Oreochromis niloticus: one gene and its partner. Each later gene encodes a partner of the first gene's protein in a complex. Links are inferred from orthologs where the notes say so. Each region holds a gene or a part of one and is shown on either strand. Other genes may lie near its edges.

Region 1 (3,919 bases):
GTGAATTACAGAAAGCTCTTAAAGCAAGGAGTGGATGGATTTTCAAGGACAGGTCTGGACCCACCAGAGGGTCCAATTTGACCAACTGATGGCTAAAAAAAGTATGAAAACAGCAATGAAATTGTAAAAAATGAATTTCGATTGCTGAGTGGTGATGCAAAGCCAGCATAACTACACAGGGGTGAACAGAATTTTAGACCTAGACACATTGTTCGGATCATAAAGAAGTAAAATACGAATGTTTATTACAAAAGAAACTGTACATGTGAAGAGTTGTTGCTTTTGCACTGTTAAATACACATGCACATGTTATGACAGCAGACCTTATTCTTGCGAAGCTGTTAATCATGTTCTTGTAAATGGGTAAATGGGTGGCTCATCAAAGGGGACAATGCTTCTTCTTTACACTTTTTCTTCTTACCGCAAGGTAATAAAAAGTTAATTTAAAGAGCATGAATGCAGATCTTATACAAATGAAAATGTTTATCAAATTTCTAACTGACAATGGAAGCAATCCTTTCCTTTCTTTGCCCTTATTAAAGAAAGGGAAGGAGTGGTTGCAGTCATTTTACTGGTCTTGGCTAGTTTTTGTAACACAGACAGATAAATTATAGAAAATTATTGTCATACTCACAGTGAAGAAATATGTTCCCCTGTGCAACAATAACAAATGGCAAACAGAAAAGAATCCACATACAAAAATAGATAAATAAAATAACTGATGATTTAAAAACAACAGAAACAATTGTAAAAAAAATATCTGGGCTGCTTGAAACTTTGTACATATACACTTTACACAACTTACATATAAGGAAGCATGAAAATGCAGAAATGTTATCATAAAAATAATTAACACAACTATATTAACCTTTATCTTTATGGAAATATCGCCGATAAGTATTGTAAAAGCTATAACAAATAACCTTAAACCCGAAAGCACCTGTGGGAACAGTGAAGAGTTATTACACAGCGCCCCTTCTCTGCTTCGGCTTCAGTCGGAAGTGTTCGCGCACTTTCGGGATTCAAGCCGGTGTTTTCAGAGGAGTAGAGCGAGCACGGCGGGTCCCAGCTCCGCAGACTACAGCAGTTCATGTGAGAGCAGCTCGGGCACACCTGGTTGGACCGTGAAGAGCAGTTCAGCGACCGAGACAGCTCCACTCAGGTGAGTTTCTACCTGAATTTAGACCTTTGTTGTTCTCTCGTCCACTTCTCCACACTCTGACTTTCTTCTTTCGGGCGGAAAGTTACCTTAGAGATAAACAGACTTTGTAAACTTACTTTTTAAACAAAACCCGTCCTGCACGCTGAGTATCGCGAGGTGGAGGTGAGAACGCCTCCATAATGAACAGCTGAAAGTTTACTTGTCCTGACTTTATTTTCATTCTACCTTTCAGCAGCTCCCGAGTTAATCACTTGAGGAATGTGGTGCAATTAGGACGGTGGCCGAGAGCTGAAAATTCATATCAACTTCAACTTTTAAGTTACTTTTTTTCCTCACTTCGACTTTGAACTTATAAGAAAAAAGGGATCATGGCTACAGGCGGATTCAAGTCAAGCGCCGCGACGGACTTTTTGGAGGAGTGGAAGGCAAAACGGGAGAAAATGAGAGCCAAAATGCTGGGGGACATTGCCGCAGCCACTGGTACTCCCTTGGGTGCCAGCAATACAAACAGCAGCCGCAACGCCGTTCCTCCTCCATCTCCTCCTCCTCTTCCTTCGGCCACCGAGTTCACCAACAACGGCAACCCGGACCGAAGCTCCTCCGCTGGGAACTGCCACCCCTCCTCCTACGCGGTTGCTCGGTCCTCCTCTGGCACTTCTCTAAAGAGGCCCGAGGAGGAAATGCACCACCCCGTGGCACCCTCAGCCACGCCGGGAAGCAACCTGAAGAAGGCCCTGCCTCAGCCGGAGAAGACTCAGGACTCTACTCCCATGGCTTGCAACGACAGTGACAAGGAAAGCCCGTCACCCAGCAGCAAGGGCAAGGAGAAGAAGAGCACCGGGCCCAGCGCCAGGAAGGGGAAAGGACAGATCGAGAAGAGGAAGCTAAGGGAAAAAAGGAGATCCACAGGTGTCGTGAACATACCATCCAATGAGGTGAGTCGGGGGAAAAGAGGGCAGAGATTCACCTCAGCATCAGAATGGGTATAACTCGGAGGCTCGTTTTGGGATTGGTCATGTTTTTTCTCTATTGGGAATAAAAGTATTTCCAAAAAACTATTAGTGAAAGTTAGTCTCTTGTATGTGGAAATGGGTGGATGCTTGATGCTTGTGCATTTTTATTTTTATTTTTGTAAGGAAATAGTGGCTTCTGTGTGTTGCACTTGAACACCACTTGCCTTCCTACACTCCAAATTCCTCCCATACATGTGTCTGGTTTAATTGAGCCTCTGCTGGACTGAAATGAAAGCAGTTCTCAGATGGTGGGAGCGGGTGGAGGTGTACAGTATGTGTGTTGCACATTCATTGTTGTTGGATTTAAATCATGTCGCAGTCCTGCCTGATTCCTGTGGTTCAGACACATGCAGGAACTCTGATATGAAGCTTGGCCAACACTGAAAAAACACTCAAATTACACGGAAATTCTCGGAATAGATGCCCCCCCCCCCTTTTTGTTTTTTTGTTTTTTTTTGGTAAGGGGATGGTATTCTGGTGTCTTTCAAAGTGGTCTGTGACCACCTTTCATTCTCCTATTTGATAGCCACCCAGAACAATATGCCCCTGGGGCAGCACAACTTGGAGTTTGACCAGCCTGTCAGTTGGAGCCCCACATCCTGTTATTAGGTGCTCAGCAGTGCCGAGCAAAGCCGTTTGAAAACTGGTCACAAGCCAGGCTGTAATGCTGGGCTTCAGCACTCTGGGCTGCGCCAGATATGCTAGATCGAGCCCATAGGCAGCTGATTATGTAGTAAAGTGGGCGAACCGTCTATTATTGGGGGAGGTAGGAGGTGATCTGATGAGGTGGTGAGCTGATTTGTGTGAGCGGGGAAGAGAGAGAAAGAACTGGAAGTGCTGTGGTCTGAGAAAGTTTGTAGAACTTCCCGAGGCAGGTCCTTATCCCTAAAAGTATAGTGAGTAAGAGTATAAAAGATGGACGTACCTGCTGGTTTTTAATTCAGCTTTAAGTGTCCAATGAAAGAAACTGCAGGTTTTCTGTGCACTAGGCTTGGGTGCTATGGTGATGCTGATGTGCTTGCAGTCCAACACTGTGTCCAGTGTGCTTGTAAACTATTTACATACCCTAATTCCTGTCAGCGCCTTGCAATTCCTGTTAATGTTCTCTTTTAATTGTTATTTAAAAGTTATGTACAGCTGAAGGCAGATCACTACATTTGTTAAATAAAATGACAAATACTATGCAGATTTAAAAAAAGGTTCATTGCTGAAAGCATTTGTATTCATCCGACTCCACAACTCAGATTGGTAGGTTCTGATCATCATACTTTGTCAACCGTCGGCACCTGGAGTTGGATAACAGTGATTAAACTGTTCCGCTTATCTTCCGTTAGCGGTGATCAAATGGAGACCTAAAGCCCAGGTGACTGCAGGCAGCCAAAGATCAATCTTTGACTTTTGTCTTCAGCTGCTGAAGTACCTCTGCTGGTAAATATAATGTGACAGATTTCCTGAATGGGAAGCCAAACTTTTCCTCAAGTCGGGCAATCAGAAACCTGCGTAACATGAGATTAATGCATGTGTTTCGCGTTATAGTTAGGCCGGTGATTTCGAAGGAGCATCCCCAGGGACATTTTGACACGTCTCCGATGCTTTCGCACACCCGTGCCAGTTATTCGGACGGTCAGCAGGGTCAGACGGTTATCAGCTTAGACGATCGTATCAGTTTGGCAGCTATGTCAGAGTTACGTAAATGCATTTGTTTACAAACAAATTTATTTATTAATTTTTAAATAATGACTGT
Region 2 (3,919 bases), on another chromosome or scaffold:
GGAACAGGACAAGTAAAAACAACAACAGCAAAAAAACAATAAAAGTGAATAAACAGTTGATGTGTGGGGTCCTACTTGACTTTTTTAACACTGAGCCTTCTGAAGGGTGAACTGTGCTGAAGTTAGCTTTATAATGGAACATTTCAGTAGGTTTTCCATTTACAGCAATGTGTACATTTTGTTTTTATGTCCATGATGAGGTGTATGATTGTTTAGTATCTACATATAGACTCACTGCCACTTTGTTAGGTACTTTGTTACTAGTACTGGATTGTTCTTTACACCTGGTTTATGCTTCAGCAGGAAATCTACCTCATTAACTTCCACGCAATGTAACTTGCACTTCACGAGAAATGTAACTACGCGTTGGGTCGCAGGTTATGTTGTAGACTCTATAAAGATTCCCTGCAGAAGTCTATATCAGGCCTTAAATCATCCTGCTAGAGATTTAACAAGATGCTGGAAACATCCTTCTGAGGCTTTGGTCCATATTCACATGACAGCATCACACAGTTGCAGCAGATTTGTCAGCTGCAGATCCATGATGTAAATCTCGCATTACAGCACATCCCAAAGGTGCCGTATTGGACTGAGATCTGGTGACTGTGGAGGCCATCTGAGTGCAGTAAACTATTTGTCAAGTTCAAGAAACCAGTTTGAGATGAGCATTGTCACATGGTAGGTTATCTTTGCTGGAAGCAGCCATCAGAAGATGGGCACACTTTGGTCATAAAGGGAAGAACGTGGTCAGCAGTAATGCTCAGGTAGGCTGTGCTATTTAAATGATGCTCAGCTGTGCCAAGAAAACATCTCCCACACTTTCACACCAGCACCAGCAGCCTGAACCTTTGATACAAGGTAAGATGAATCCACATGATCACAATCATCTGTTGTCTACTTTTGGGAAACCTGGGTAAATTGTTGCTTCAGTTTCCTGTTCTCAGCTGACAGGATCTGCACCCGGTGTGGTCTTCTACTGCTGTAGCCCATCTGCTTTAAGGTCTGATGTGTTGTGTAAGATGCACTTCTGCACACCTTGGTTGTAATGAGTGGTTATACGATTTATTTTTGCCTTCCTATCATCTCAAACCAGTCTGACTATTCTACTCAACAAATATAGCTGCAAAGCTGGTGATGAGTGTAAATGCATTTGATAAATACTTTTATATTTGTACACATCTTTGACCACATACACAAAAATTTTAAATGTAATTTAACCCATGATACTGAACTGTAGGACCTTTTTAAAAAAAAAACAAAAAAAACCATATATCTTCGAATTTATCTTATAAAAAATACACCTTTCACTACCTTAAGACGCCAGAAATAGCGAAAAATGTGTTTTAAAAACAAATTAGGTTAGCATAATAAAACATTTCTCTAGAAAGTGTTCATATCAGCAGTGAAATGTATTAAAATCTGATCTTGTAATTGGGTTTACATCTTCACTTCGGATTAAATATCGGCACCGCATATTATTTTACATTTTTCGTGAATACATTTATGGCCTAAAGAAAATCAGCATAAACTGCATTACCAACACGAAGCCATCTTTGCTGTAGCTGCAGCCGCTCTGTGGGGAGGTCCTAATCTGGTCTAGCAGCTGGGAGCGTTTGACCACGTGACGCGAGAGCTGTTAGAGAGCAGCCATCACCATTTCACCTAATTCATGCCCAGCCTGGGAAAAAAGGTGAGAGCACAAGGAAGAGGAAAACTACGATGGAGTAGCTGAAGCCACTGAAACCGTGCCCGGTCTCATCCACCCTGCTGCCGCCTCACAACTTAACAAGGTGTGTTTGCTGTGTGCTTTTCCTCTTGTGTGTTTTTGTGCTTACTGTGTCGAAACGTTTGTTTCGCTTCTAGTGTTCCTCTTTACATCACATTTAAATATCTGATATAAAAAGAAAAAACAACAACGCCTGCAAAGCTTCCCCCCTCCCTCCCCAGTTTAGACATAGTAACCACTAAATTGTGTCGCTGTCTTCGTCCCCCCTCCTCTCCTTTATTAACATTAGCCATATTGTGTAGCTGCTTCAGCTAACGCCGACGGTTTTTGCTGTGTGTCGGATAACAAATGTTTCGCAGGCGGTCGAGTTTCGGGTAAACAAAGAAAAAAAAAAAACGAAGCTAAAGAAAGACCAGGGGTAAGAAACGGTTGACTCACGCGCTTCTTCTTCTGTTTGTAGTTGCGCGTGGACGGTTCCACGAGCTCGGACCACACGGTCGCCAGGTCCATTTAAAACTATTAAGCCCAGGCTGCTTCTACGGTAGCTAGCATGGCAAAACTCGGAGGAATAAGTGTTCAGAAGGCCTACATACGCTCATTCACAGTCTGCTGCTTCAGCTGCCAGCACGCTTTACTTTCACACAGTAAGTTTAGTTTTTATTCAGGCTGTTGTAGATGCGTGTTGGTACCAGTTTAGTCAAGGCCTGTAGGTAGTGGCACTATTGTTATACCTGTCTTCTCTTATGCCAATAGGCTTAGTCTGTCCTCAGTTTCAGAACGTGTGTGCTGTCTATTTAAAGCTGTTTAGTTAGACATAAACCAGTCAACAAAACCTGGATATTCTAACTTGAAAGGTGATCTTCATATGCCCGTGTAAGGTTGCATTAGTTATAGCGTTGTGCTAAATCGTGGTGATGACAAACTACAAAAAGTTAAAACACAGAACAAAGCAGACCATATTAAATTCTTGAGTGCACTCCTGTGTGACACACTGTCTTTATTAAAGCTTAACTGTATGTATTCAGCAAATCAGAAAAACAGGCTGTGGTTTAAGTTCAGGTGGGCCTGGTCCAAATTGAGCCTTACAATAGAAACAAGCATCTTGATGCATGTTCAATGATGTCCAGATGAACAGAATCAACTTTCCTGGATAGAAACAAGTGTTTCCTTGGCTCAGCAAATCCGGCGAGGCCTTTCCTTCTGCATTTTAATCAGCTTCAAACCAATTGGGGGGCCCAGGAACCCTAAACAAACCCAGGCTAGAATCCCAGCCCAAATACACCCCTCCACAAGCCATCTTTTATACTCCCTGTGGGTATGTTTGTTTTGAAGTCCAAATGAAATCAGGGACGACTCCTTATTGTTCTTGCATTTTTGATTTGCCTCCTAATGTTGCATGCGTTGTAAGGTGGCCCTGTGTGGTGGAAATGAGGGGGGGGGGATGGTAAACTCCTGGCACAGAGAGTGTGCAAATTAACATGTTTCACTCTCCATGAATGCTGGACAGCCATCGAAAAAGAGATTGTTTACATTCAGATGCTTGCCACCCGCTGCTTGCTTTTTCTTCCCTCCTTGTTTTCCAATCACTAAAGAGACATGACCCATTTAAATGGTTGTTTACTTGCATTAGAAGAAAGGCCAAAGCACTGCTCAATGAACTCTTGTCTACAATTCAATTAGAGTGGCCTTCCCTGCAGCACAATTTTCCACATTACACAATGCTCTCTACAGCCTTGCTGCAACATAGGCAGAAACGGGAAGCCCAGAAAGCTGCAGCAGTGACACCTGGGCCCACAAAAGTCACATATGTGTTTGGGATATTATTTCCAAACGTATCTTGCTACTGATTGCTTCTGGGCTTATTAAGGGAAAAAATGCTTCATGCTGTAAAAAAAACAGCATGAAAATTAAATTTGAAGACAAATTCTTCATTTTTCTTCAACAGTTATGAGAAGGTAGTCCATCAGGCTTTTATTGTCCAGTTTCTCTACTGAAACTATTTCTGCCTCAAAAGAGCTCCTGTCCAGCTGTGCTTCTCTAAAACTTGTTTTTTAAACCAGACATTTTATTACAGCTTTTCCTGTTGCCCTCTGACTAGACAGCCATATAATAGGAAATGGCTGGAGTTTTTCCTGTCTTTTTTCCCCCTATTTTTGGAGGTTGTGGGAATATTTCACTTTCACATTTGATGAG

The links.
Region 2: the proteins of pawr (region 1) and spsb1 are in contact, whole or in part, in a crystal structure (PDB 2JK9), measured with the Homo sapiens proteins. The link is inferred for Oreochromis niloticus from reciprocal best matches to the Homo sapiens genes PAWR and SPSB1. Residues at the interface, in NP_001341661.1 of Homo sapiens: Glu68, Leu69, Asn70, Asn71, Asn72, Leu73, Pro74; in NP_079382.2 of Homo sapiens: Arg77, His78, Pro79, Val80, Ala81, Gln82, Gly110, Thr111, Tyr129, Val216, Trp217, Gly218.

What each region holds. Positions count from the first base shown.
Region 1 is NC_031981.2:15,987,476-15,991,394, forward strand, and holds the start of pawr (PRKC apoptosis WT1 regulator protein), read left to right. Parts: upstream 1-952; 5' UTR 953-1,162; intron 1,163-1,394; 5' UTR 1,395-1,530; coding exon 1,531-2,097; intron 2,098-3,919. UniProt on the Homo sapiens protein: Pro-apoptotic protein capable of selectively inducing apoptosis in cancer cells, sensitizing the cells to diverse apoptotic stimuli and causing regression of tumors in animal models.
Region 2 is NC_031984.2:21,424,360-21,428,278, reverse strand, and holds the start of spsb1 (SPRY domain-containing SOCS box protein 1), read left to right. Parts: upstream 1-1,620; 5' UTR 1,621-1,790; intron 1,791-3,919. UniProt on the Homo sapiens protein: Substrate recognition component of a SCF-like ECS (Elongin BC-CUL2/5-SOCS-box protein) E3 ubiquitin-protein ligase complex which mediates the ubiquitination and subsequent proteasomal degradation of target proteins.